Linked DNA regions of Oryctolagus cuniculus. The protein of the gene in region 1 purifies or fractionates together with the protein of each later gene. This does not show direct contact. Links are inferred from orthologs where the notes say so. Each region holds a gene or a part of one and is shown in the gene's direction. Other genes may lie near its edges.

Evidence for each region.
Region 2: the proteins of POLR2G (region 1) and SCAF1 purify together in Homo sapiens (affinity purification with mass spectrometry; 3 studies listed by BioGRID and IntAct, counting the BioPlex papers as one, with this or other methods). This does not show direct contact. The link is inferred for Oryctolagus cuniculus from reciprocal best matches to the Homo sapiens genes POLR2G and SCAF1.
Region 3: the proteins of POLR2G (region 1) and RPRD2 purify together in Homo sapiens (affinity purification with mass spectrometry; 3 studies listed by BioGRID and IntAct, counting the BioPlex papers as one, with this or other methods). This does not show direct contact. The link is inferred for Oryctolagus cuniculus from reciprocal best matches to the Homo sapiens genes POLR2G and RPRD2.
Region 4: the proteins of POLR2G (region 1) and GPN1 purify together in Homo sapiens (affinity purification with mass spectrometry; 4 studies listed by BioGRID and IntAct, counting the BioPlex papers as one, with this or other methods). This does not show direct contact. The link is inferred for Oryctolagus cuniculus from reciprocal best matches to the Homo sapiens genes POLR2G and GPN1.
Region 5: the proteins of POLR2G (region 1) and MED26 purify together in Homo sapiens (affinity purification with mass spectrometry; 6 studies listed by BioGRID and IntAct, counting the BioPlex papers as one, with this or other methods). This does not show direct contact. The link is inferred for Oryctolagus cuniculus from reciprocal best matches to the Homo sapiens genes POLR2G and MED26.
Region 6: the proteins of POLR2G (region 1) and GTF2B purify together in Homo sapiens (affinity purification with mass spectrometry; 3 studies listed by BioGRID and IntAct, with this or other methods). This does not show direct contact. The link is inferred for Oryctolagus cuniculus from reciprocal best matches to the Homo sapiens genes POLR2G and GTF2B.
Region 7: the proteins of POLR2G (region 1) and MED9 purify together in Homo sapiens (affinity purification with mass spectrometry; 3 studies listed by BioGRID and IntAct, with this or other methods). This does not show direct contact. The link is inferred for Oryctolagus cuniculus from reciprocal best matches to the Homo sapiens genes POLR2G and MED9.

The regions. Positions count from the first base shown.
Region 1 is NC_091432.1:8,823,566-8,828,110, reverse strand, and holds the start of POLR2G (DNA-directed RNA polymerase II subunit RPB7), read left to right. Parts: upstream 1-1,616; 5' UTR 1,617-1,756; coding exon 1,757-1,768; intron 1,769-1,882; coding exon 1,883-1,992; intron 1,993-2,798; coding exon 2,799-2,958; intron 2,959-3,965; coding exon 3,966-4,016; intron 4,017-4,385; coding exon 4,386-4,451; intron 4,452-4,545. UniProt on the Homo sapiens protein: Core component of RNA polymerase II (Pol II), a DNA-dependent RNA polymerase which synthesizes mRNA precursors and many functional non-coding RNAs using the four ribonucleoside triphosphates as substrates.
Region 2 is NC_091449.1:7,853,045-7,857,501, reverse strand, and holds the start of SCAF1 (splicing factor, arginine/serine-rich 19), read left to right. Parts: upstream 1-1,511; 5' UTR 1,512-1,982; coding exon 1,983-1,991; intron 1,992-4,041; coding exon 4,042-4,158; intron 4,159-4,340; coding exon 4,341-4,398; intron 4,399-4,457. Other genes in the region: RRAS (ras-related protein R-Ras), read right to left, coding at 1-70.
Region 3 is NC_091438.1:47,536,789-47,540,568, reverse strand, and holds part of RPRD2 (regulation of nuclear pre-mRNA domain-containing protein 2), read left to right. Parts: intron 1-111; coding exon 112-189; intron 190-1,414; coding exon 1,415-1,467; intron 1,468-2,004; coding exon 2,005-2,131; intron 2,132-3,780.
Region 4 is NC_091433.1:175,373,844-175,377,623, reverse strand, and holds part of GPN1 (GPN-loop GTPase 1), read left to right. Parts: intron 1-678; coding exon 679-745; intron 746-826; exon of another isoform or gene 827-922; intron 923-1,690; coding exon 1,691-1,728; intron 1,729-3,780. UniProt on the Homo sapiens protein: Small GTPase required for proper nuclear import of RNA polymerase II (RNAPII). May act at an RNAP assembly step prior to nuclear import.
Region 5 is NC_091447.1:64,933,068-64,936,053, reverse strand, and holds the end of MED26 (mediator of RNA polymerase II transcription subunit 26), read left to right. Parts: coding exon 1-1,394; 3' UTR 1,395-2,232; downstream 2,233-2,986. UniProt on the Homo sapiens protein: Component of the Mediator complex, a coactivator involved in the regulated transcription of nearly all RNA polymerase II-dependent genes.
Region 6 is NC_091438.1:82,117,694-82,121,473, forward strand, and holds part of GTF2B (transcription initiation factor IIB), read left to right. Parts: intron 1-1,499; coding exon 1,500-1,633; intron 1,634-3,780. UniProt on the Homo sapiens protein: General transcription factor that plays a role in transcription initiation by RNA polymerase II (Pol II). Involved in the pre-initiation complex (PIC) formation and Pol II recruitment at promoter DNA.
Region 7 is NC_091448.1:66,356,920-66,361,301, forward strand, and holds the start of MED9 (mediator of RNA polymerase II transcription subunit 9), read left to right. Parts: upstream 1-1,547; 5' UTR 1,548-1,638; coding exon 1,639-1,865; intron 1,866-4,382.

The DNA.
Region 1 (4,545 bases):
TCCTCCACTGCACTCCCTGGCCACAGCAGAGAGCTGGCCTGGAAGAGGGGCAACCGGGAAAGAATCCGGAGCCCTGACCGGGACTAGAACCCAGTGTGTCGGCGCCGCTAGGTGGAGGATTAGCCTAGTGAGCCGCGGCGCCAGCCGCCCATCTGTTCTAATGGATACACTACTCATCAAACCTTGTTGTCTTGCTTATCACTAATCTCTGTCTCTTGCTTGAATTTTTTTTTATGGGAGGACAAGGACCTCTATACCAGCCATCTCCACTTACAAAATTATGGCAGTGACTGAAAACATCTTTAGTATGTTTTTATCAAAAATTTTCTTTAAAGATTTATTTATTCATTTGAAAGGCAGAGTTACAGAAAGAGTGAGAGAGAGAGAGAGAGAGAGAGAGATGTTCCATCTGCTGGTTCACTCCCCAAATGGCCACAATGACCAGGCTAGCTCAGGCCAAAGTAGGGAGCCAGGAGCTTCCTCTGGGTCTCCCACAGGCCCCTGTTTCAGGGGCCCAAGGACTTGCTGCCTTCTCAGGTACATTAGCAGGGAGCTGGATCAGAAGTAGAGCTGGGGCCAGCACTCCAGCCGTTGCCGCCATTTTGGGACTGAACCAGCAGATGGAAGGCCTTTCTTGCTGTCTCTCCTTCTCACTTTCTGTAACTCTACCTCTCAAAATAAATAAATAAATAAATAAATAAAATCTTAAAAAAAAAAGTGGAGCTGCCAGGACTTGAATCGGCATCCATATTGGATGCCAGTGCTGCAGGTCATGACTTTATCCCACTGCACCACAACGCCAGCCGCCAACAATTTTTTTAAAAAATATTTATTTAATTATTTGTAAGTCAGAGTTACAGTGAGAGAGAAAGGAACAAGTCTTCTATCCACTGGTTCACTCCCCAAAGGGTACAACGATGAGGCCTGGGCCAGGCCAAAGCTGGGAACCAGGGGCTTCTTCCAGGTCTCCTCTGTGGGTGCAGGGCCCCAAGCACTTGGGTCGTTTTCCACTGCTTCTCGCAGGCTTTTGGAAGGGATTTGGATCAGAAGTGGAGCAGGGGCTGGCGTTGTGGCATAGCGGGTAAAGCCGCGGCTTCCATTGCCGGCATCCCATATGGGCGCCAGTTCGAGTCCCAGCTGCTCCACCTCTGATCCAGCTCCCTGCTATGGCCTGGGAAAGCAGTGGAAGATGGCCTGAGTCCTCGGGCCCTGCACCCACGTGGGAGACCCTGAGTAGGCTCCTGGCTTCAGATTGGGCCAGCTCCGGCCTTCGCGGCCATTTGGGGAGTGAACCAGGGGATGGAAGACCTCTCTCTCTCTACTTCTCTCTAACTCTGCCTCCCAAATAGATAAAACCTTGAAAAAAAAAAAAAGGCTACTATCCACCTAGATACTTAACACCACATTGACTATGGGAAAGCAGTCTGTAAAATACTTGCTGAATGACTCCGCTGTTAAAATAATTATGTCATCTTTCACCAGGAATTAATTCAGTTTAAAATATTCAGTTCACAAATACTTTAAGTTACTTGGCGGAGCGGGCAAGGTTTGAGCGCCAGTCGGAGGAACCGAGGGGCGGAGCTTCATCAATCCTCCACAGGGAGGCCCAATCGTATCCATCGACTGGAAGGAGTCCCGCCCACTTCCGGCGGACCCGGAAGCGAGGGGCGGCTGCGCGGCGTGCGCTTCCGGTGAAGCCAGTGGGTCGGTGTTTGTAGCGCTGGTGGCGGCTTGTTTTAGAGTCTCGTCGGGGAAGATGTTCTACCACGTGAGCAGGGCGCGGGGTGATGGCGAGGGCTGGGTCGAGAGGAGGAACGGGGCGCCGGTGCGGAGGGCTGCTGCTTGCCCCGTATCCTCCGTCTGCGTTCCGCTGTCTCCGCAGATCTCCCTGGAGCACGAGATCCTGCTGCACCCGCGCTACTTTGGCCCTAACTTGCTCAACACCGTGAAGCAGAAGCTCTTCACCGAGGTGGAGGGGACTTGCACTGGCAAGTGAGTACTGTGGCCGTGCGTGTGGTCTCGGCGGCGCGCACACGGGACCCTGTACCTGCAGCCGCCCCCCTCCCAGCGTGGGCTGCAGCACCTTGCCACCCACGCTGGGGAGCGCTCCGTAACTTCCTTCAGCCTAGATTTCTCATTCTTTTACTGCGCGTTTTTCGAGCTCCTGCTGTGAGCCGGGCCCCGTGTTGGGCCCTGGGAACATGCAGAGAACAAGATGGAATGAGGCCAGCACGCGTGGGGCTCACAGTTTAACCCTTGTCCCTCGGTTTCTGCTGAGCCCAGGGAGTTGGCATGGCACAGTGTGTTTCCTGAGTGAATGACCAGAGAATGCGGGTCGACGGGGTGAGGAAGGAAGGAGGCTGGGGCTTGACTGTCCTTGGGTTCTTCCCAGAGCGGTAGGAGTGGACTGGAACTCAGCTCGGGGCCGGGCGGTACTTGAGCCTACAGCAAAGCCAGATTACCCTGGATGCACGTTCGTTCCTAAGACTCCTCACATCTCTGGGGCAGGCCTGGGACTCTGCCTGCTCACACGCTCCTCCCAGGTGATTCTGAGGCAGCTCGAAGATTGAGGTCAGAGACTGCAGCCACTTCGGATGTTTGTTGTGAAACAGGAGAGCAGCGCGTGGCCTTTACAGATGCTGATCCCTGCCCTTTCTCTTGGTTCTGAAGCGCTCTGGGGGCAGAGATGCTGTCTGCTTCCCCTCTTAACCCCTTCCCAGGCTCGATGACTCTTGCTGCAGATGGCGTTAGAGGCCCTTCCGCATATAGAACCTTTCTCTTTCTCATCCTCCTCACAGGTATGGCTTCGTCATTGCTGTCACCACCATAGACAACATCGGCGCAGGAGTGATTCAGCCAGGCCGAGGCTTTGTGCTTTATCCTGTTAAGTACAAGGCCATTGTTTTCCGGCCCTTTAAAGGTGAGGTCGTGGATGCAGTTGTCACTCAGGTCAACAAGGTGAGTCCTCACATAGAGGAGGCAACGGGGTGGTCCCTGGGAGGAGCTGGTTTGGGTCCCTGCTCCTCTTGCTAACTCTGTGCCTTTGGCTAAGTCACTTTTTTGTACTTCAGTTTCCTCACTTGGCAAATGGTTCTAGGAATCTTGGTCCTGCCTCACTCAGGAGGCACGTGATTCAGTATTAATAGTCGTAAGGGTAGAGTCCTGGGGCCAGCGCTGTAGCCCAGCGGGTTAAATCCATGACATACGGCACCGACATTCCATATGGGTGCAGGTTCAAGTCCCGGCTGTTCCGCTTTCCATCTAGCTCCCTACTAATGCTCCTGGGAAAGTGGTGGAGGATGGTCCAAGTCCTTGGGCCCCTGCACCCATGTAGGAAACTCAGAGGAAGTTCTTGGCTCCTGGCTTTTGCCTGACCCAGCCCTAATCATTGCAGCCATTTGGAGAGTGACCCAGCAGATGAAAGATTCTCTCTCTCTCTCTCTCTCAAGTCCTAGGTGTAGGCTCTTTACTACTGCACTGTTTTTACTTAACTTAAAATGAAAGATTGGTGCTGGCATTGTGGTGCAGTGGGTTAGGCTTACTTACATTCCAGTATTGTTGAGTATCAGTGTGCCGGTTGGCATCCAGGTGCTGTTTCCTGTGCTACTTCCTGCTAATGTGCCTGAGAAAGCAGTGGAAGATGACCCACGTGCTGGGGCCTTGCCACCCACGTGGGAGACCTGGCTGGTATTCTGGGGTCTTGGGTACAGTCCCAGCCACTGGGGCCATTTAGGGACTGAACCATTGGACAAAAGATCTGATTCTCTGTTTTTTCTGTCACTCTGCGTTTCAGGTACATAAAATAGCTAAATACATAATGAAATGTTAATAAAAAAGAGAAGTGCAAACAAATGCCACAATTCATACCGGTCATAGAACATGAGTAAAATTGTAGGAATCAAGTAAAAATGGGAACAAAAGACTTGGAGGGGAAGAAAAAGCGAAATCATTCGTTTTCCTTGTAGGTTGGACTCTTCACAGAAATTGGGCCAATGTCTTGCTTCATCTCTCGACACGTAAGTCTGGGACACCGGGTAGGCTGGGACACCGGGTAGGGGCTAGAAAGATGCGCCCGTTTGTGGTCATCTACTGAAGCATCTGTTGAAAGTGCTGACCCTCCTGGGTTCTATACTCATCTCTGGCTGCTGACTCCAGCCTCTGCTAATGTGCACCCTACGAAGGCGGTTGGTGATGGCTCAAGTGACTGGGTCCCTGCTGCCCTGGTGGGAGACCTGGACGGAGTTCCCAGCTCCTGGCTCTGGCCCCAGGCTTGGGCCACTGTGGGCATTTGGAGAGTAAATCAGCGGATGGGTATTCTCTGCCTCCCAAAGAAGTGTATAGATAAGGAAATGACAGTGTTGACCTACTTTGACTTTTCCTTTCAGTCTATCCCATCAGAGATGGAGTTTGATCCCAATTCCAACCCACCATGCTACAAGACAATGGATGAGGTGAGTGGGGAGGAAGACGTCAGGCAGAGGGAGGAGAGATCAGGGCACTGGGAGGGAGAGTTGGCCTGGACGTGTCTTGAGGACCCTGTTCCCT
Region 2 (4,457 bases), on another chromosome or scaffold:
GGTCCCCGGGCCCCGGCCCCCCGCCCCGGGGCCGCCCCCGCCCTGTCTCGGACGCCGCCCCGCTGCTCATGTCGCCACCGCTGCCGCCGCCGCCGCTACCGCCCGCAGGGGGGAGCCGGGCGGGACCCGGGGGGGGGGCGGGATACGCTAATGAGGGGACTGCATAGTCATGAGCTCTGCCCCCGAAGGGTTCGCGGCTCAGGACACTTAAGGAGGAGGCAGGGCCCCGGGGAAGGAGGAGCTATGCTAATAAGGCAGGGGAATTCCGAAAGGGGCGGGGATATGCTTATGAAGGAGCTGCGCCACGCGCTCTCAGCAGGCCGGCCGCGTGTGGGCGGGGACATGCAAATCAGCACATTCTTTAGACTGCCGGGGCGGGAAGTTCGTTCGGGGAGGAGCTATGCAAATGAGGGAGCCCGGGGAGCGAGCCGCTCCGGGCCTTATTCTGGTGGGCGGCGCTCGCCGACTCGGGCGCGTCCGTATATAGGGCTCTCCGAGGAAAAAGCGGGTCCGGAGGAAGTGGCTCCACCCCCGCCCTGGGAGCCCAGCCCAGCTCTCGGCCCGGGCGTGCGGGCTCCGCCTGCTAAGGGACCCGGCCCAGCGGAAGGCCGGCTGGAAGGAGAGCTGGGGCCCTGGAAGGGGACGGCGGGTTGAACGGGCGGGGCCGTGAGATCACTGCATTCCTAATCCATGAACCAGCTCTCCCAAGTCGGGACGCCCGGGTCAGGAGGGACCTCGGGCCCCAGGAAGGAATGGGGGCTGCAGACTCGGGCCCCCGGGGCACTGCGCAGGAGGTGCCGGTAGTGACGGAGCTGGAGGACTGGATCCTGGGTCTGGGGTTGGAGAGCTTGGCGACTCAGAATTCTGGATCCCAGGGCACAGACCAGGAATGGAGGGAGGAGGCTCCCGAAGCCTGAGGGAGAACACGCAGACCCCTCAGTCCGAGGGAGGAGGCTGTAACGCACGGACTCCTGGGACTTCCGCGTCCTGAAGGGAGAGGCTGTAGGGTCCTAAATATAGAGGGAATCTGAGCCCGAGAGTCCCCAGGATGTGGGCGGGACGGTACCCACCCAGTCCTCCCGCCGCAGAACTACAATTCCCCGTATCCGTTCCCATGCGCGTCCCTTTACGTCACTTCCTGTTCCGCCGCCCTTTCCGCGCGCACGCAGGGCACTGTGGGGCCTCCCCGCGGGCTCCTGCAGCCCCGCCCACTTCACCTCTCACCTCCTTGCTGGCCCCGCGCGACGGAGGCGGTGCGCGGACTACGCCTCCCGGCGTGCGGCGCGCGTGCCCCGCCCCACCTGTCCCCTGGACTTCTGGGAAACCGAGTCCGAGCGCCTTCCCGCCAGCCTTCACGGCGCCGTGCTCGGTACTTGCAATCCCGGCAAGCTCGGCGGCTCTTTAACTCCGCCTCCCTCCTCCTCGGCACGCGAGCCCCGCCCCAGCCCGCCCCGCCCCGCGCCGGGGCCGGAGCCGCAGCCCGAGCGGCGGGGTAAGATGGCGGCGGCGGTCCGGGCCGCGGGGCTCGGGCCTATTGGGGTGGGCGGGGCGGAGTCGGGTCGCTGGTTGTCCCGGGGTCCTCCTCGCACGCCACGGGGCCCGGAGGGCTTAGCGGGGCGGCCTCGGGCCCGGCAGTAGCGGCGCAGCCTGGCGCCGAACGGAGGGGCCTGCGGAGGGCCCCGGGACGCGTCCGTGGGCGCCGGGGGGCGTCGACGGAGCGCCCGGGAGCGCTGGGGTCGGTCCCGGCACCTGGCCTGAGCCCGGGGGCTGCCCTGCCTCGTGCAGCCGGCCTGGGTCGCGGCTGCGGGGGCTGTGGATGCTTCTTAGGGGCCGGCCGGAGGCTGGGGTCTGTTCAGAGGGTTTTGGGGCCATCTTGGGAGCTTGAGCCGTGTCCCGGGGATGGAGCAGGTCTGCAGAGCCGTCTAGAGCGCCCAGGGTATGTCTCTCGGGGCTGGCAAGTGTCTACACCGGCTGGCCTGAGGATGCGGCTGGTGGGTACACGGGTCGGGTAGGGGGGGCATTTATCGGGCCTGGGAGAATTACGGAAGGGCTAGGAAGCGTTCGAGGGGCACACAGCGGGCTGGGATGCGCCGAGCCGGGAAGCGAGGCCAGTCCTGAGATGTCCTGGAGGCGTGGAGTGTCTGATCCGGGTGACGGGAGGTCGGGGGTGGCTGGAAGGACCTGGAATGCGCTCGGTGGCTTTGATGTGACTGCAAGCGTGCAGGCTGTGCCTGGGAAAGACTCGAATGCGTTTTGGGGACAGATGAACGTGTGGAGAAAAATTCCAACGAGCGTGCTGGAAATTCGGCCCGCTGCAGACACACTTGCCCTTCGGAAAGTATTCCCACGAAACGAAAAATGCTTACAGATTTTGCATTTCCCTGGGGCGGTAGGGAGAGAGCGGTAGTCCACAGTGGCCTGGGAGGGGCTGGGGGGCCGTCTACACGCTCCTGGCGCATCGCTTTGCGAAGTCTTTCAGCCTTGGGCTGCAGGGAGAAGTAGGTTTTCCATTGAGACAAAGTATATACTGACGGGTGTTTAGATACTCCGGGGCCCGGGAATTGATATTTGCACTTGCTACTTGGGGTGCTGTGGACAGTTTTCTGTTATGTTTTATGTCCTTTTTGTAACAAGCTGTTTTGGAAGCAGCGAACAGCTGTCCGACTCTAGTCTGAAAACCCTTGACCTGGAGGGACCAGCAGTGGCCGCAGCCTTGCTCTGTCCCAAGATCTGAGGAGCCAGGGGTGCACCTGCAAAGTCCAGGGGCCTCTCAGTGAGCAAAGGAGCATCTGTGTCCCCCGCAGAGGGTCTGGCCCTGCAGCTCGGTCCCCTGCAGAGGGTCTGGGCTCACCAGCTCAGTCGTCCACAGAGGGTCTGGGCTCGCCAGCTCTGTCCCCCGCAGGTCTCGATTGAGCCTCTGATGGGTGACAGTCGCTGTCGTGGGTGGTGTGTGCCTCCCGGGAAGTGCTGGCCAGCAGGGCCGGGGCTGGGAGCTGTGCGGGGGGCCTGCGCCCCACAGTATTGAGTGCTGGTGAGAGGCTGGGGTGTGTAGGAGTCTCAGGGCGTTAGGGAAGTGGCTGCAGGTTCCCAAGAGCAGGGAGGGAGGCTGAGGTGGGAGCCACGGCACAGGTGGAAAAATCTGGAGGTGGGGCGCAGGCGTGCACAGGTGGGCAGGAGAGGAGACGGCGTAGGAGGAGCCTGGGCTGCAGGGCTAACGGTGCGACTAGCGCTCCTGGTACTGAGCCCTTGGGATGTGCCGGGTGTGGGACGTAAGGCAGCCTCGTTCTGTTCCGACGGCTGTGCCATGAGCCCGGTCTTCTGTTTGCCCACTTTCAGGTAAGGACGCGGAGTTGAGGGTCAGGGGTTTGAGAGCAGACAGGCGCAGGGAAGCTCGGGGTGGGGTAGTCCCTGGCTGCCGAAGCCCTGCTCTTCTAGCCGCCTGACCGGGCAGCCAGAGCTGAGCGTCTCCGGGCGGCGGGAGGGCTTCGGCAGTGCCTCCCTGGGACGGGAGGCTGATGGCAGTGCCCCTGCCCTGGGGTCCTGGGAGACAGCATGCGTATCGGACGCTAAGCATTTTTGTTTGGGAACTGGCACGAGGCTTTTGCAGACCGGCCTCGCGTGGCCCGTCGTACGTGTGGGAGGACGAGCGATGCTCCGGGAAGCTGTGGTGGGTGACACTGGCTGCCCCGGGCACTGGCACGCAGCTCGGCGTGGGGAAGGGGTTGGTGGGACCGTGCACCGTGCTCTGAAGTCATGGCGCGGAAACAGATCTCTGATTCTGTCTAGTGCGAGGTCCTGACGCTGGGCTTGGTTGTGGGGGAGCCGTGGGGACCGGGGAGTAGGGAGGCCGCCCCTCGACAGAGGTCACAGCCAAAGCCCAGAGGGCACTGCTCTGTGGCGTCCATCGCGGGCAGACGGAGATGAGGACTGTTCTCTTTTTGTAAGCGGAGGAGGGAAGGTGGGGAGATGAGGGCCCTGGTGTCTTCCGTCGGCCCCCCCTCCTGCACCCGGGGCTGCTCCCCAAGTCAGCCCCTCCCCCAGCAGGTGACCATGGAGGAAGAGGATGAGTCTCGAGGGAAGACGGAAGAGTCGGGCGAGGATCGGGGCGAGGGTCCGCCAGACAGGGACCCCACGCTTTCTCCTTCTGCCTTTATCCTGGTGAGGCTGCCAGACCCCTGGAGTGGAGGGAGAGTGGCTGGGAGGCCCTGCCTCGGGGCCCCTAGCGGGAGAGTGGGCTGGGAGGCCCTGGCTCCTGGGCGAGCGAACAGGGGTCTGGCGGGGGGGCGTCGGGGTGCTGTCCCCGGAGCCCGCTGAGCCCCGACCTCTCCGCTTTCTCGCAGCGGGCCGTTCAGCAGGCTGTGGGGAGCTCCCTGCAGGGGGATCTGCCCAGCGACAAAGGTACGGTGGCCCCGGGCCCCCCTCGCCCGTTCTTCTCACCCTTCCTCCGGTGAAGCTGT
Region 3 (3,780 bases), on another chromosome or scaffold:
ACAACACACAGTCTTGGATTGCCTTTTTTGATGCTACAACTTTGGCACTGAAGTGGACAGACAGAACAGCTTCCCATAATGCCAGATTGCAAAAACTGAAATGTTTTCCAGGTACAACTTTCAAAACTCAGAAGCAGCTGAAAGAAAATCTGAACAAACAACCGAATAAGCAGTGGAAGAAATCACAAAGTAAGGAACAAAATCTCAACTAATATAAAATTACCTCCTCTTTTTGGAGCAGAAGAAAATGTAGACCATTTGACATCGCACCTGGCATAAACCGTGGGCAAGCCTGTGTTTTTCAGGCCCGGGAGGCTCCCAGTGATTTACACTAAGCCAGCCATCATGAAGTTACTTCTTTAAAAACCACTTTAAACAAAGGAAATGCAGAAAAAGGGTTTGATTGAGTGAAGATTCAAGAGTAGTTGGGGGATTGAAAGAAGAAAAAAAAAAAAACTTGATAGTGCCCAGGCTAATTCTCAGATTCAAAGATACATGAAGTTAGAGGCAGCTGAAATTAAACAACAGAGCTGAAGAAGAGAATAGGCATTAAGAAGCATTTCTGTGGGAGCCATGAAATCCTTCAGATTGGGGATACGCTCTGCCAAATTATACGTGGGCCTCAAATCCTGGCCAGAAGCTCGTTCTCTAACTGGAGCTCCTATAATGTTTTACCAGTTTACCCAGCATGAGATCAAGGGAGTGGAATACTGCATGTGATAGGCTGCTGTGGGCAAACTGAGGAATATTGAGAGAGACTTGAAGGTGTGGAGAGACCAAGGTAAAAGACAGTGAGAATTGGGAGGTGAAACAAGATTCTTAGGATGGTTTTGCTCCAGCAAGCGTATGATATTCATCATGATTAAGGGAGTCCTGTGACATCCTTTTGGTCGTAAATTGCATGCATAAGATCACCAAGAGTCGTCCTTTGAGCCAAAGTTCAACCACAGTGGTGATGTGCTTAGAACTTTCTTATGTTTGCCATGAATTGAGTCAGCAGCAAAAGGAATCCACAGCTCAATACGTAGGAAATAGAGTTGATATTTGTAAGTAATTTTCTTCTGCCAGTGCTCAGGATTAAGTGGATGTCCTCTTCCTGAACACTCTTAATTTGAGGTGTTGCAATCTCCTTTTACTCAGTCAGACTAGGAAAAGAAGGTACTTTATGCTTCAAGGGTCTGTTGGAGGTAAGTAGGTTAGGCCTAATTAAGTAGTGTATTTTGACATTAAACATGCTTGAGAGTGTTTAGATTTCATAGTCCATTATTTAATACAGGATTTATATTATGATTTAAATGCGCATGTTTGCCATATATTCAGAGTATACCCATAACTAAAAAGCTGAAATTTTTCTTTAATTTTAGTCAACTCTTTGTGTTTATATTCTTAACAGCCTTTTGTTTAATTCCAACAGCATCCACAAATCCAAAAGCTGCTCTCAAGTCTAAGATAGTTGCTGAATTTCGAGTAAGTTACAGAATATATTCAGTTTTGTGTTATAGTTTCCCACATGGTCCAGTAAGACTTCTTTTTGTCACTTATGTTTTAAAGAATTCCAAATTGGGATTAGATTACTTGAAGTTTTATCTGTTCCCCCAAAAATAACCTTCTCCCAGAATATCTATTACCAGCTAAATTCTGTAATGAATTCATGCCAACAAACAGATTCATCTTTCTGTAAAGCTCTGATAAATTAGAAATTTCTTAAGAGTAACAGAAGACCATGTTTACCTAATTAAAATTTAAAGAGAATATAACTGGACCTTTGTTTCAGTTTTAATCCTGTATCTGTAAATTAGCCTTAAATAAGGGGCAGGATCTTTTACAGTATATAAATGAATTTATGGTTTTGACATCAGAATTGATTGAGGAAAAGTAAGGGTTTTTTGTTTCCCCTCAAGATTTTGTTAGGTTTTAGCTTAGGTTTTTGTTGTTGTTGTTCTAATAGGAGATAGAATAATTGAATGAGCTTGTAAATGAAATGTGTTTCTGGTCTGTGTTCAGTCTCAGGCCCTCATTGAAGAGCTGTTACTATACAAGCGCTCAGAAGATCAGATAGAACTGAAGGAAAAGCAGCTATCAACTATGAGGGTGGATGTGTGCAGCACAGAAACTCTCAAATGCTTAAAAGGTAATAATTACATCTTTTTAGTTTTTATATGTTTATTTGAAAAGCAGAAAGGGATCTGTCACAACAGCCAGGGTTAGGACAGACCAAGGCCAGCAGCTAGGAATTATTCCGAGTCTCCAAGTGAGTAGTAGCAACCCAAATACTGCCTCCCAGGGTGTGCACCAGCAGGATGCTGGAATGGAGAGCAAAGCCAGGATTTGAACCCAGGCCCTCCAATGTGAGCTGCAGGTGTCTCACGTGGCAGCTTGACCACTGTACCAAATGCCCAACCCACTTACATCCTTTAAATAGAATAATTCAGATTTTTCTTTCCAGAAATGTCATTTTCAGGTAGTCTATAAAGAGAACATTAGATTGTAGAAAGCAGTAAGTAAATTCTTATCCTTCCCCTCCTTTCTAGTCTTTCTTGGTATATGAGCTTATATATAGACACTTGTGTTGCACATGTGTGGTTTGTCGTTTGGGGCATGCTTTTTAATGAGGTCACGCTAATGCCTCATAAAATCTTGTTAGTTGCCCTCTTTTCCTTACATTGTAAATAATAAATAATCATACTAGAGATCGGCACTGTGGCATAGCAGGTAAATCCACCACCTGCAGTGCCAACATACCTTATGGGCACCGGTTTGAGTCCCAGCAGCTCCATTTCTTAACCAACTCACTGCTGTGGTCTGGGAAAGCAGTAGAAAATGACCCAAGGGAGACCCAGAAGAAGCTCCTGGCTCCTGGTTTCGGATCAACCCAGCTCTGGCTGTTGTGGCCAGTTGAGGGAGTGATTCTCTCTGCCTCTGCCTTTCTGTAACTCCATCTTTCAAATAAATAAATAAATCTTTAAAAAAAAAAGAATAAAGAATTTAATCTACCTTAAGTAAAGTTTTAAAAAAATAGCTATTAGAGTATAACCCTCATGAAGGCAGAAATTATCTTTTTTTTTTTTTTAAGGTTTATTTATTTGAAAGGCAGAGTTACAGAGAGAGATTTCCATCCCCTGGTTCACTCCCCAAATGGCTGCAACAGCCAGGGCTGGGCCAGCCCAAAGCCAGGAGCCAGGTGTTTCTGGATCTCCCACGTGGGTACAGGGGCCCAAGCTTCCCAAGTGCATTAGCAGGGAGCTGTATGGGAAGTAGAGTAGCCAGGAATTGAACTGTTGCCCATGTGGGAATGCAAGCGCTGCATGTGGCGGCTTAGCCGATATGCCACTCACCAGCCTCCAGAAATCATCTTTATTTGTTCATTGCTATCCCCAGTGCCTACGGTAATCTTAGTACATAATAAACATTTGATACATAGTTTTGAAATAATGAGTAAATGACAACTAGCTTTCATTTGGGTGCCTGTTTTGTCTCTACACCATATCTTAACATTTATCTAATGTAGCCTTTACATCAACTCAAAAGCATACTAAAAAACCCTTCTGAGTTTTTGGCTTTCTTTTTGTTTGTTTGTTTTTGAGTAAGCAGGGTTGGATTTATTGAACATGTTACATAGGAGGAGTGGGCAGTCAGGACACCTAGCAACTAGCTGGTGCTGCTACATGCCATGGGGGAACAGCAAGCTGAGTAAGGCAGCTAGAAGCTGACGACTGCTGCCAAAAATCTCTGTTTTCTAAATGAGAAATCTGAGGTGTCATGAGATTAATAGCACAGCTG
Region 4 (3,780 bases), on another chromosome or scaffold:
CATAGATTGTGCCTTGAATAATTTTCATTATAAATTTCATAATTTATTAGGAGTATGCAAGGTGAATGTGGAAGAGATGTTGTAGGTTATCGGAAACACTGTTTCCACTTCTGGTTTCAGCTTTCTTACCATCTCCACAGACTGCAGGTGGCTGTAGAGACTAGGCAGAATGAAAGGTGAGATGGCAGCTGCCTGGGTGCTCAAGGTAGCATTGCCTTCGAGGCTGCATCCATTGAATAGCACCTCTTCAGATCAGGAAGCTCAGACATGAGTGTGTGTAGCTGGATTAATTGTTAGTACATTGCTGTGTGAAATGTGTGCTCTCCCTGTATATGAGTCAAGGTAGGAGAACTTACATGGTCAGCAGCTTGCTTGATTAGTGAGGATCAGAGCCAGAAGGGTTATGTAGATTATCTTGATGGCTGATGCCGGCAGCCTGCCACTGCCTGATGCATCTCTGTTGTATTTGGGTTACTTTGCTTCTCTCTCTGCCTAGTCATCCCTAAAATGGGAAATGAATGAAGACCTTCATAGCGAATGTTTCCCTGTCAAGGATTAGGTTGCCAAAATCCATTAGTGGAATACTGACAACTTGGTGCTGTTTGTGTGAGTGATCCTCTAGATATGAGTTTTGTAATATAACCTGTAAGCTGTTTAAGTCCTCAGCTTAATGTCTAGATACGGACTTGGGCCCAACGGCGGTATAGTGACCTCACTTAATCTCTTTGCTACCAGATTTGATCAGGTATGTTTATCTTTACGTATGTATACAGGGCTGTGTAAAAACCTGTGGTTGTTACATGCCTTAACTTAAATATTGGTAAAGAAGGAAGCAAGCTGAACATAAATATAGGAAATAGGCATTGACCTGTAACTGGCTTGTGTTAATGCTGTGTTATCCTGAAGATGGGATGGGGGACAGGTGAGTGGGATGGCCTAGAAGGCCTGGAATGGAAAATAATGGGGCTTTTTACTTGTGATAAATGCTTGCCTCCTTTAGGTTTTCTCTGTGATCTACATCCATAAGTTTGTTGGATAATAATTAGTTTTTGACTGTGGTATCAGTCCATGAGACAGTCTATTAATATTTGACCAAAGCATCAGAATGTGTGACTTGATAGTGATAGAAAAAATCCCAAGCTTTTCAGGTATGTGTGCTGCCCCAGGAAGCTGTGGTGCTGCTGATGTGGCTGTGCTGCTTAAGTTGTTTTTTTTTGTTTGTTTGTTTAAGATTTTATCTATTTATTTGAGAGGTAGAGTTACAGACAGTGAGAGGGAGAGACAGAGAGAAAGGTCTTCCTTCCATTGGTTGATTCACTCCCCAAATGGATGCAATAGCTGGAGCTGTGCTGATCTGAAGCCAGGAGCCAGGTGCTTCTTCCTAGTCTCCCACGTGGGTACAGGGGCCCAAGCACTTGGGCCATCTTCTACTGCTTTCCCAGACCAGAGCAAAGAGCTGGATTGGAAGAGGAGCAGTCGTGACTAGAACCAGTGCCCATATGGGATGCCGGTGCCGCAGGCAGAAGATTAACCTACTGTGCCATGGTACCGGCCCTGCTGCTTAAGTTCTTAAGATTGAGGACATAGATTGAGCAGGTGATGGTTTCTGTGAGGCATGCTACCCTAGAGAGGGCCCCGTGATTTTGTATTGAAATCAGATCCGGTTTTAATTGGCATCTTTTTCTTTTAGGTGATGAAATTTATCGAGAAGGCCCAGAACATGTCTAAGTAAGTGCCTTCAGGTCCACCCCTCTCTATTACTCTGTAGTTGTACATTTCTAGGCTTTTTGGAGGATTTGGGATAACAGCAAGCTCTGAAAGCTTGCAGATTGAGATGAAACCACTAGAAGTGTTGCTGTGGATTCGTTCTGAGAGGAGGAGTGTGGTGGGGGCAAGAGGCGTGGAGTCCCCACATAGACCCCGGGAGTTGGGTGAAAGCAGTCCTGAGGCAAGCAGCCTGTAGATTCTTTTATTTCAGTTGGTACAGCAGCTTATGTAGCCAAGGCAGTCAATCCGGTCAAGGGGTGGTCTATGCCCTAACCAATCACAGCCTGTTGCCAGGCAGTTTCCAAAGCCATCCAATCACAGCCTGTTGCCAGTCAGGCTCTGTTGCCATATGGTTTCCGAAACCATCCAATCACAGCCTGTTGCCAGGCAGTTTCTGTTACCAGCAGCCATCTTGGCATGGCCTTCTCATTCCACCGCGTAGAAGTGAGATGGCCAAGAATATCATTTGGGTGCTGTACATTGTAGAAGTGAATTTGCTGTTATCAACCCCTAAGTTTTTTTGGGACGTGCTTTGAGACTTTGTCTGCCTGCCTTCTCCTAGGAAGCCATATTTGTTGACATTTAAGCATTTGTAGACTTTTCTAGCCCTTGTTTAAATACATGATTCAGAGAAATAATTTTCTAATTTAGAAAGTACTGAAATACAACAGAATATTTATTCTTCATATATTATGCATAGTTAACTGTTGTTAATAGGTTTTCTTTTTTAAAAAAAATAATTTTACTGTTTTATAATAAGAGGTATATGCTGATTAAAGAATTCAAACCAGGCATAATTAAGAGATGAAACTGTCACTGACTCCCACTAGGGACAACTATTATTATTCAGTGACTAGCATTCCACATGTATTTTATAAAAGATTATACTACAGGGTGTTTTTTTTTTATTATTTTTTTATTTTTTGATAGGCAGAGTGGACAGTGAAAGAGACAGAGAGAAAGGTCTTCTTTCTCCATTGGTTCACCCTCCAATGGCCGCTGCGGCCGGCGCACCACGCTGATCTGAAGCCAGGCACCAGGTGCTTCTCCTGGTCTCCCATGCGGGTACAGGGCCCAAGGACTTGGGCCATCCTCCACTGCACTCCCAGGCCACAGCAGAGAGCTGGCCTGGAAGAGGAGCAATCGGGACAGAATCTGGTGCCCCGACTGGGACTAGAACCCGGTGTGCTGGCGCCGCAGTCGGAGGATTAGCCTTTTGAGCTGCGGCGCTGGCCACTACAGGTGTTTTTTAAAAGATAATAGCTTTGCCGGCGCCGCGGCTCAACAGGCTAATCCGCCTTGCGGCGCCGGCACACTGGGTTCTAGTCCTGGTCAGGGCGCCGGATTCTGTCCCGGTTGCCCTTCTTCCAGGCCAGCTCTCTGCTGTGGCCAGGGAGTGCAGTGGAGGATGGCCCAGGTGCTTGGGCCCAGCACCCCATGGGAGACCAGGAGAAGCACCTGGCTCCTGCCTTTGGATCAGCGCGGTGCGCCGGCCGCGGCGGCCATTGGAGGGTGAACCAACGGCCAAGGAAGACCTTTCTCTGTGTCTCTCTCTCACTGTCCACTCTGCCTGTCAAAAAAAAAAAAAAAGAAAATTGCTCTGTACTGAATATTTATAGACCTTTTTTTATTCCCTAAACAATACAACAATTATTTATATAGCATTTACCTTCTAATAGGAGTTGTAACTAATCTAGAGATGACTTAAAGTGTACAACAGAATGCGTATAGGTTATTTGCAGATAAGTGCCACTTTATATAGAAGGAACTTGAGTATTGCCAGATTTTGATGTCCTAGAGGGTAGTCTCTGGACTCAGTCTCCCGAGGACACTGAAGGACTAGTATATTCACAGGGTTGTGTATTGATCACCACTATCTAATTTCAGAATATTTTCATGAACTCCAAAAGAAATTCCATATTCGTTAGTCGTCATCATTGATTTCCCTTCCCTTCAGCCCTTAATGATTACCCCATTTTCATTGCTACCAACAACAGAGTTCTCCACAGCGTT
Region 5 (2,986 bases), on another chromosome or scaffold:
TGCCCGGGCAGCGGCCGGACAGACTGGGCGGCCAGAAGCGCCGGGGGGACCAGCGCGACCTCGGCCACCCCGGGCCGCCCGCCAAGGTCTCCAAAGCCAGCCACGAGCCCCTGCTCCCCAATTCGTCCCCCCTCCCCACCAACGGGATCAGCGGGAGCCCAGAGAGCTTCCCTGGGCCCCCCGACGGTGGCGGCGGTGGCGGTGGCGGCGGCGGGGGGCACGGCCCTGAGAGCGGCCGTGTGGAGCCCACCGAGAATGACACGCACAGCGGCAAGATCCCTGTCCACGCGGTGCGGCCGCACACCAGCTCCCCGGGCCTGGGCCAGCCCCCCGGGCCCTGCCTGCAGACTAAGGCAGCGGTGCTGCAGCAGCTGGACAGGGTGGACGAGACCCCCGGGCCCCCCCACCCCAGGGGGCCCGCGCGCTGCTCCTTCAGCCCCCGGAACTCACGGCACGAGGGCTCCTTTGCCCGGCAGCGGAGCCCGTATGCACCCAAGGGCTCCGTGTCCAGCCCCTCGCCGCGGCTCCAGCCGCTCGACGCCACCCAGGTGCCCTCACCTCTCCCGCTGGCCCAGCCGTCCACGCCCCCCGTGCGGCGGCTGGAGCTGCTGCCCAGTGCCGAGAGCCCGGTGCGCTGGCTGGAGCAGCCCGAGGGCCGCCATCGACTGGCGGCGCCGGGCTGCAAGGCAGGGCTGCCCCCGGCCGGCTTCTCCCCAGACTCCTCCAGGGTGGACAGCGACGCTGCCGCCGCCGGGGGCTCGGACAGCAAAAAGAAGAAAAGGTACCGGCCACGCGACTACACGGTGAACTTGGACGGGCAGGTGGCCGAGGCGGGCGTGAGGCCCGTGCGGTTAAAAGAGCGGAAGCTCACCTTTGACCCCATGACGAGACAGATCAAACCTCTGACCCAGAAAGAGCCAGTGCGGGCGGACAGCCCTGCGCGCACGGAGCAACCGCCCAGGACAGAGCCGGACGCGCCCGAGGCCAAGGCCAGCCTCCAGAGCCCCTTTGAGCAGACGAACTGGAAGGAGCTGTCGGGCAACGAGATCATCCAGTCGTACCTGAGCCGGCAGAGCAGCCTGCTGCTGTCCTCCGGCACGCAGACGCCGGGCGCCCACCACTTCATGTCCAAGTACCTGAAGCAGGAGCAGAGCCGGCTCGGGGCCCGGCGGCCGCACGTGCTGCTGCCGCACAGCCCGCCCGCCGAGCTGCCGGGGCTGAGCCGGGAGCTCACGCAGGACGATCTCGACAGAATCCAGGCCGGCCAGTGGCCGGGGGTGAACGGGTGTCGGGACACACAGGGTAACTGGTATGACTGGACGCAGTGCATATCGCTCGACCCGCACGGCGACGACGGGCGCTTGAACGTTCTGCCTTACGTCTGCCTGGACTGAGCGCCCGCGGCCGCCGGGCGCACTCCCACCTCGCGGCGGGCGGGAGCGGGGGTGGGGGGCAGGAGCCACGCGGGCTTCCGCCCCTTCCCCCCTCCCGGGACTCTCCTCCTTTTGTGAAATGCTGCTACCAGTTTACTAACAAAATTGCGAAGGGAGGGCGGCGCGCACGGACGGCAAAGCGAGTTCGGAACTTGAGCGAACGCGTCAGTCCCCACCCGGGCACCCAGGCAGGCAGGCAGGCAGGCAGGCGGGCGCAGGGCTCCGCGCTGGGGGGAGCAGCAGGAGCACGCGTCTCGGCCCCGCACTCGCTCTTCTGGGGTCTGGGAGCCGGGGGGAGGGGCCGCGGGCGGGCCACGTGGACGACCAGTCTAGCCCACACTCCACGAGCATCCACCCATTTCGATCTGGTTTCGGTTCAAAATCCCCAGTTTTTCAAAGAAATGCTGCAAAAAATTTCAGTTCTCTCGCGTTTATTTTCCATGTGACCACCAGCCAAAACCCGCCCTCCCCGTCCCTGCCCCTCCCCCACACGCCTGGGGAGTTCACCTTCCTAGAGTCCCCCCCAGAACAACACAGATGTCGCCGCGGGTGCTACTGGGGTGCGCGCCGTGCCGCCGGGCGAGGAGCCGTCTGCGCTGACACTCATAACCATTCCTTTAGATTCGTTTGCCTTATGGTTACTCGTCATAAACGCGATTTGCAAAAACAAGGAGCCTTAGTGAATGTACAGAACCCAGACTTCTGCGTCCTCACGCAGAAGGGAGCAACTTTGCTATTTGGTCCAGTAAGTGGACACCTTGTGATATAAATGTGGAAATAAAAAACCCATTTGCACAAACTCGTCTGAGAATCGTTTCCTACTTGGGCCTTCGGACAGCCACACAGCGCCTGCCTGGATTCTGGACGAGCCGGGAGGGCCCGGGCCCCACAGCCCGACGGCAGGCTGGGCTGCGGCCACCTGCCAGCTCTGGAGAGACCCCACAGGCGCCACGTCTGCAGCTCCGGGTTCCAGTGGCCTCGGCCCCTCCCCCCTGCCCGCACCACCACCACCAAATATTTGTTGTTCTAAGAGGCCCAGCCCTTTGGCCTTAGTACCCTGATCACTGAAACAGCTGTCCTGCCTCCATTATAAAGGGGTAATAAGACCACCCCGATGGGCCATCCTGTCCCTGTCTCCCCCACGTCCCGCAGCCGCCCAGAGCCAGCAGGGACTTGGACACACACTGCCCTGTCCAAAACAAGGGTGCAGTGGGGTCGAGTGGCTTTGAGGGCAGGGTGAGGCTGAGCCCTGCACCTGCCAGCCGTGGGCTCGCTCTGGCTCACTCCCTGGAGGTGCGAGAACCAAATGATCCAAGTCCTCTCAAAAACCAGCAAGCCCGTTGGTGGGTGGGCTGCGACTCCCGGCCGCGCTGCGGAGTAGGGTCACTGCTCTCACTCCGTGCACAGTGGGCTCACCCTGGCCAGCTCCGGTGGCCGGCAGGTGCTACCTGCGACACAGGTCGGAGCGCAGGGTCCGTCTCCTTCCCGCAGACCAGGGCTCTGGGACAGGCCGCTGCTTTCCCTTCTCCCCCACCCCGCCCCCGACACACCTG
Region 6 (3,780 bases), on another chromosome or scaffold:
GACTCTGGTTTTGTATCTTAAGCCACTTAATCTTACTTGTAAAGTGATAATAAAAGTTGGCACCTGCTTTTATAAGGCCATGAGGATTAAGTGAGAACATTTCTAAGGGCCCAATGGCTGGTGTATGTGTGTTCAGTGTTAATTCTTATCTACTCTGAAAGAAAATATTGGCAAATACTGAACATTACCATAAACTAGTAACCAAGCAGATTTGCTTATGTCTCTCTCTTTCTCTCTTCCTCTCTCTCGCTCTTGCTTTAATTTTTATATGAAAGGCTTGAGTGGCAGAGAGAGAATCTCTATCTGCTGGTCTACCCCCAAGATGGGCACAACAGCCAAGAATAGGCCAGGCCTAAGTTAGGAGCCAGGAACTTATCCAGGTCTTCTACCTGGGTGGCAGAGGCTCAGGTACTCAGGCCATCACCTGTGTCTTCCTGGGTACATTAGCAGAGAGCTGAATCAGACATGGAGCAGCCAGGACTTGGAACTGTTACTTCAGTATGGGATGTGGGCATCATAAGTAGTGGCTTTACCTGCTACACATCCTTGTCCCATATTATCTGACTTTTTTTTTTTTTTGAGATTTTTGTTTATTTATTTGAGAGGTGGAGTTAAAGACAGTGAAAAGGAAAGAAAGAGAGAATGGTCTTCCTTCCGTTGGTTTACTCCCCAAATGGCCTCAACGGCTGGAGCTGCGCCGATCCCAAGACAGGAGCCAGGTGCTTCTTCCTGATCTCCCATGTGGGTGCAGGGGCCCAAGCACTTGAGCCATCTTCTGCTGCTTTCCCAGGCCATAGCAGAGAGCTAGATTGGAGGCGGGGCAGCCGAGACTAGAACTGGCGCCCATATGGGATGCAAGTGGAGAATTAACCTACTGTGCCACGGCACAGGCCCCTGTCTGACTTTTTTGACATGGCATATTTAGCTGTTGCTGCTTTGCTTAAAAAGAAAAGTTTGCCTACCTGTGTTTCTTCTTACTAATTCTAGGTTTAAAATTTATTATATATGCATATATATAATTAGTACAAAAATATTTTTTGTCAAATGGTGACTTTGAAACTTAAGTTCAGGCTTATTTTCTACAAAGCACTTCCCATAAAAAACTCAGAAGTTCTTTATATTAAGTTGTGCATTAAAACCATTCTGAACAGTTGTCTGGTTTTGTCCCATGGCTGTGGCAAATTTTATGCAAAATTTTTGTTCTGAATCATTATATATTGTTTTATCTTTGTATCATATACAGATAGAATTATTTTGCTGTTTTTGACCGATTGTTTCTTCCAAGAGTTGGAGTATAGAGAAATGTTTAAAAAGGGTTATTCATGAACTGGCACAACAGTTAAAAGGATACCTCAGGACTGTTGTTTGAGATGCCATATTTAAGGGGAGGCCTATATGTCCTTTTTTAGATTTCTTGGGAATAAATGGGCTGACGTGGGCTTGGCACTGTTGTTAAATCATGTCATCTTTACCAAACAGATGTGTGCTTATATTCTTAGGTGACCGGGTTATTGATGTGGGATCTGAATGGAGAACTTTCAGCAATGACAAAGCAACAAAAGATCCATCTCGAGTTGGAGATTCTCAGAATCCTCTTCTGAGTGATGGAGATTTGTCTACCATGATTGGCAAGGTAATAAGTCTTTCAGTAGGAAATACCAGGTGTAGGGTGACTAAAGACTTAGGAGTTTGAAATCTTTGCAAAATTATCTGTGACTACCCCAGTGGGAAATCCTGACCTGTGAATAACATTTGTCAGTAATATTGTTGTGAATGAGGGCTGATTTGTGTGGATTTTCTTCTGTCTTGAGGAGAGTAGACCAGCAGATCTAAATGCAGTCTTTATATCTTAGCCCCCTTTTAGTTTTTTTTTTTTTACATCAGGCACATGTTTAACAAAAATGTGGTCTTTATGAGTTATACTGATATGTCTTGAGTATCGAAATGCCCTCTGTTTCCCATCCCCACCACCTAAGATAAATGGGAGCTCAGTAGAGCTTCTGATAGTGAACTTGCCTTGCCTAAGCTTCACAGTGCTCATCTGTAAAGTGAGAATAGCAGAACTTTATAGAGATGTTGAGGGGCCTTGGGAGCGTATCACAGCATTTTATGTGTAATATGTGCACAGTAAATGGGAGCTGGTATTCTTACGTAAGGCACCATCATTGTTTTCCTGGCAGCTTGGCTCTTTTCTTGCTGTGTTACCTGAATCAGAAGTCACTGTGGCAATATTCCAAAGCACTAATCAAGGAAGTGTGTATTTTAGGACTTACTCCATTCTACTACATAGTCTATGTTTAAGGAGGTATCATGGGAGGGGCCGGCACCATGGCTCACTTGGTTAATCCTCCACCTGGGTGCCGGCATTCCATATGGGTGCCAGGTTCTAGTCCTGGTTGCTCCTCTTCCAGTCCAGCTCTCTGCTGTGGCCCGGGAGGGCAGTGGAGGATGGCACAAGTGCTTGGGCCCTGCACCCGCATGGGAGACCAGGAGGAAGCACCTGGCTCCTGGCTTCAGATTGGCGCAGTGCCAGCCATAGCGGCCATTTGAGGAGTGAACCAACGGAGGGAAGACCTTTCTTTCTGTCTCTCCCTCACGGTCTATAACTCTACCTGTCAAGTAAAACAAAATAAGAAAGAAGGTATCATGGGGAAAAGCAGATTTGTTTATGCTCTGATGAATTGTGTATCAAATTTTAAGAAACATGGTATGAATTGATATAAATGTTTACAGTATTATATTCAGAAATAACTTGGCTATATAAGTTGGCTATATCTTCATTTGCTTTAGTCTTATAGCCTGGAGAAGAAATATACTACTACGGATATTTTATTTTTTAAAAGATTTTTATTTATTTATTTGAAAGAGTTACAGAGAGAAGGAGAGGGAGAGAAAGAGGTCTTCCATCCACTGATTCACTCCCCAGTTGGCCACAAAGGCCGGAGCTGTGCCTATCCAAAGCCTCCTCTGGGTCTCCCACGCCAGGTACAGGAGCCCAAGGACTTGGGCCATGTTCCACTGCTTTCCTAGGTCATAGCAGAGAGCTAGATGGGAAGTGGAGCAGCCGAGACTCAAACCAGTGCCCATATGGGATGCTGGCACTGCAGGCGGCAGCCTTACCTGCTACGCCACAGCGTCAGCCCCAGATGTAAAATTCCAACTAATTAACACTGTGACTTCTTTAATGCTCAGTTTTTCCATAGGAAATACATGACACAAAAACAGAAGTTTAAAAAGAATACAGTTAATTTTCCTCACTTTTGACCCCCAAACTCTCAGTTCCCACTACAATCCTCTTTCTCTGTCAAAAACAGATAATCACTATTTATACTTCTCTGGCAAAAAGAAATAAAAACTTATAAAAGACTACACATATTTTATACTGTTACTGTACCTTTGAGAATACTGATGGACTTTCTTTTCCATCCTTGTCCAGTTAGTAAAATGTCATTTCTCCACGGTGTTTCACCAGTAACATCAACCTTCCCTCCTTGACAAAATCTTTTCAGCATTTTCTTCACTAGACTTTTTTGTTTACAGGTTAGGCTAACTTTGTCCCATTTTTAAAAAGAAAGCCATTTTGTTGTTAAATAGGTTTACTGGGATTTTGCTTAGATTTATTTGCAAGTTGACATAGGGAAAATTTACTTCTTATTGATGTCCTCTTCTCCAGAAACATGGTGTGGCTTTCCATTTCCTTAGGTCTTTTATCCGTCCATCAAGTATGTTTCAAAGTTTTCTTCACAAACTCTTAAGTTTATTCCTGTATGTTTTTGTTGT
Region 7 (4,382 bases), on another chromosome or scaffold:
CTCTCTTTCTCTCTTGCTGGCTCTACCTCTTCCTCTAACTCTGTCTTTCAAATAAATAAAATAATCCTTTAAAAAAATCTGCTTACGTCATCAGTGCAGCTGAGGCTGGCCACGTCTCTGACAAAACAGCCGCCTTACATATTCATGAAGCAGCTGCCTTTGCTGACGTTTACCAGGATGAGTATTAAACAGATGCGTATTTTTGTGGCAATGTTGGGCTTCCTGAAAGCAGCCCAGGCAGGATTTTTCTGACATATGCTTGCAGCATTACAAAACTTTACTCTTTGTCACTAATTATATGAACTATTTATAGGGCAAATTGTCAATACCCAGTATTTGCTCATGCATCTAACATTTTCAATTTGTGGGTTTTTTTGTTTGTTTTTTAGCCATATCTATTTATACCTGATTTTTTTTTTCTTTTTAAAGGACGTTCTCATTATGATGCCAATGACAAATTCGGGGCTTGTGATCAAACACGCTGGGAGGGGAAAAAAAATGACGCACGTTGCCATGGGGATATTATTGATGACTATTAGATTGCTTCTCAAATTCTGAATAGAAAGCCACGTTAACATTTTGAATCATAAAGTTACAAAACTAGCAGAAGCCTGAGGAACCTGGCTGAGACCATAGGTTTGGCGTTAGGCAAACTGGGTGACCCTAGACCCACACCCATTGTTAAGTCTCAGTTACTTTGTCTTTAAAATGGGGATGCTTTGGAGTTGGCGTCCTAGCGCTGTGGGTTAGGCCAGAGCTTGGGACACCTGCCACCCACACTAGAGAGTTGTTTCAGGTCCCGGCTGCTCTGCGTCCCATCCAGCTCTCTGCGGGACACCTGCCCCCCACACTAGAGAATTGTTTCAGGTCCCGGCTGCTCTGCCCAGCTCCCTGCTAATGAGCCTGGGAGGCAGCAGATGATGGCCCAGGTGCTTGGGCCCCTGCCACCCACGTGGGAGTCCTGGATGGAGTACCTAGCTCCTGGCTTCAGCCTGGCCCAGCCACAGTTGTTGGAGGCATTGGGAGAGAGAAGTATCCGAGAAAAGATTTCCGCGTGTCTATCACTTTGCCTTTCAAATAAAAATAAATTTAAAAATGTTGAACAGTTGTTTTAAAAAAATAAAATAGCGGGTCGAAGCCATGGTGCTGTGGGTTAAGTCGCGGCCTGCAGCGCCGGCATCCCATATGGGCGCCAGTCTGAGACTCGGCTGCTCCACTTCCCACCCAGCTCTCTGCTAAAGGCCTGGGAAAAGCAGCAGCAGATGGCCCAAGTACTTGGGCCCCTGCACCCGCGTGAAAACCCTGAACGAAGCTCCTGGCTCCTGGGTTGGCCCTGGCCCAGCCCTGGCCGTTGAGGTCACTTGAGCTAAATCGCCTGTTTCTGACTAATTTACTTAACTAGACTCGCAACCAAATCCAGCCTACACCAGCCCGCCCACCGCATGTCGCCTAGCAACAGCCTCCTCCCCTCACGCCTGCGCTTTTACCCCGCCCCCTGCTCAGTGCGCATGCTCAGATCCGTGCGTCCGGCCCCGCCCCTGCGAGGCGCTCAGCAGTGACGTGTAGAGTCCGCGACGCTCCCGGCGAGCCGAGCCGGTGAAGTGGGGGAGTTGGCTCGCTGGACCGAGCCCCGGGGCCATGGCCTCGGCCGGGGTGGCCGCTGGGCGACAGGCCGAGGATGCGTTACCGCCACCGGCCGACCCGCCGCTGACCGAGACCAAGCCGTTGCCGCCGCCGCAGCTGCCGCCACCGGTGGCCGCGCCCCAGCCGCAGCAGTCGCCGGCGCCCCGGCCCCAGAGCCCCGCCAGCATGAAGGAGGAGGAGAACTACTCCTTCCTGCCGTTGGTTCACAACATCATCAAATGGTAAGGAAGGGCCCCGGAAGAGGGGGCCCCGCCGCCGCCGCTGGCGCTGGCGCTAGGAGGCTGCAAGGGTGCGTCCCCATTTCTCGGGCGGGCAGGCCGAGGCCAGGGGGTGGGCAGGGGCCTCTCCCGAGAGCTCGCGGCGCCTGTCCGGGCGCATGGGGGCGCCGGGGGGCGCCGTGCTCTATGCGGGGGACACTTGCTCCGAGCTGGCCGGCACAGGTGGCCGGGGGCCTCGGGAGCCTGGGCAGCGTCCCTGAGGCTCCGTAGGGTTAAGACGCGCTCTGGTTTTCTCCTCGTCTTCAGCACATCCCGCAGAGAAACATCGTCGGGACTGCATAGCGTTCTGCTAGGCGTTACGGGGTGCGCACGGTAAAAGGGGCCGACTGCGGGCCGGCCTTGTGGCGTAGCAGGTAAAGCCGTCGCCTGTAGCGCCAGCATCCCGAATGTCTCCAGTTCGAGTCCCGGCTGCTCCACTTCTGGTCCAGCTCTCTGCTGTGGCCTGGGAAAGCAGTGGATGATGGCCCAAGTCCTTGGGCCCCTGCACCCACGCGGGAGACCTGGAAGAAGCTCCTGGCTCCTGGCTTTGTTCGGGCTATTTAGGGAGTGAACCAGTAGATAGAAGATCTCTCTCTGTTACCCATAATTATGTTACCCATAATTCATACAGATTGAGCCTGCAGGGCTGAGATGGCCTGCAGAGACACAGAAATCGCCTCCACCGGGCCTGGACTAACTTGATCCCAGCCTACCTTGAAAGGATATGGCCGTGCTGTTGGCCAGCCCTCAGGGGAGCCCAAGCTTTCGGACAGACAGGCTCTGGAAAGGAAAAAACAAAAACAGACAAGAAACCAAAGTCCCCCCCGTTCCACGCTTGCCTGAGTGAGTACGCCGCTGGCGCTGACGTCACGGAGTGGTGCCTGGGAGAGTGAGGAGGTGCAGCCGAGGCATCGGCCGCTTGCTGCAGGCAGACACGTCCCAACGGGACATGCGTGGTGTTTGGCCTTTCGTGGAAGTAGGAGGAGTACGTTCTGAAACAGCAGTGAGAGGTATAGGACAGCCAATACGAGGATTGTTTTGAAAGTTCACGGAAAAGTGCGTATTATGGAAAGATGTGTATGGGTTTCATTTTATTTTTCAGGGATTGGTTTTACTTATTTGAAAGGCAAAGTGATAGGGAGGCAGAGAGAGAGAGAGATCTTCCATCTGTTGGTTCACTGCCCAAATGGCCACAACGGCCGGCCTGGGCCAGGCTGAAGCCAGGAGCCTGGAACCCCATCCGGGTCTCCCACGTGGGCGACAGGGGCCCCAAGCACTTGGGCCATCCCGGCTGCTTTCCCAGGCGCATTATCAGGGAACTGAATTGGAAATGGAGCAGCGGGGACTTGAGTAGGTCCTCATGTGGGATGCCAGCATCAACGGCTTGTGCCACAATGCTGGCCCCTGAACCAAAATTTTAGTTCCATTTTTCCAGTAACTTTTTTTTTTTTAATTCATTTGAAAGGCAGAATTACAGAGAGGCAGAGAGAGAGAGAGAGAGAGCTTCCACCCAATGGTTCACTCCCCAAATGGCTGCAACAGCCGGAGCTGTGCCGATCTGAAGCCAGAAGCCAGGAGCTTCTTCTGGGTCTCCCAAGCAGGCAGGGGGCCAAGGACCTGGGCCATCTTCTACTGCTTTCCCAGGCCATGGCAGAGAGCTGGATCGGAAGTGGAGCAGCCGGGACTAGAACCAGCACCCATATGAAATGTCGGTACTGCAGGCGGTGGCTTTACCCACTACGCCATAGCGCCGGCCCCGCAGTAACTTTCTGAAGTTCCCTGTATGAGAACTGGCAGTGCAGTCGGTTTCTTTCCGTCGGAGTCACCACGAACAAGGTTGTTTTCAGCCCCGTTTTAATCTCATGCCACCATTCGTCGTGTGTGTAGTCTGTTGTTGGCTGACTCACGACTCAGTGCTAGATGTAAACCCCCAGGCTTGCCACTCGAGCTCAACCATTTAAAACCAAAGCAAGCTAAACTTGACACCACCACCATTGCGGGGGCGTTCAGGTTGAAGGTTGATGGGCTTGCCGATGCTGTGCTGAGATGGAGTCGCTGCTGACAACGTGGACTTTTTTTTTCTTTTAAAGATGTATTTATTTGGAAAGAGTTACAGGGTCCGATGTTACCTGCGGTGCTGCCTTCCCATATAGGCACCGGGTCGAGTCCTGGCTGCTCCACTTCGAATCCAGCTCCCTGCTAATGGCCTGGGAAAGGCAGCAGAAGATGGCTCAAGTGTTTGGACTCTGCTACCCGTGTGGGAGACCCAGAAGAAGCTCCTGGCTTTCACCTGCCCCAGCCCTAGCTGTTATGGCTGTTTGGGGACTGAACCAGCGGGTGCAAGATCTCTCGCTCTGTCTCTCCTCTCTAAGTTTGACTTTAATTAATGAATAAATCTTAAAAAATTTTTTTAAAAAAGGAGTTACAGTGAGAAGAAGAGACAGAGAGATCTTCCATGTGCAGGTTCAGTCCCCAGATGGC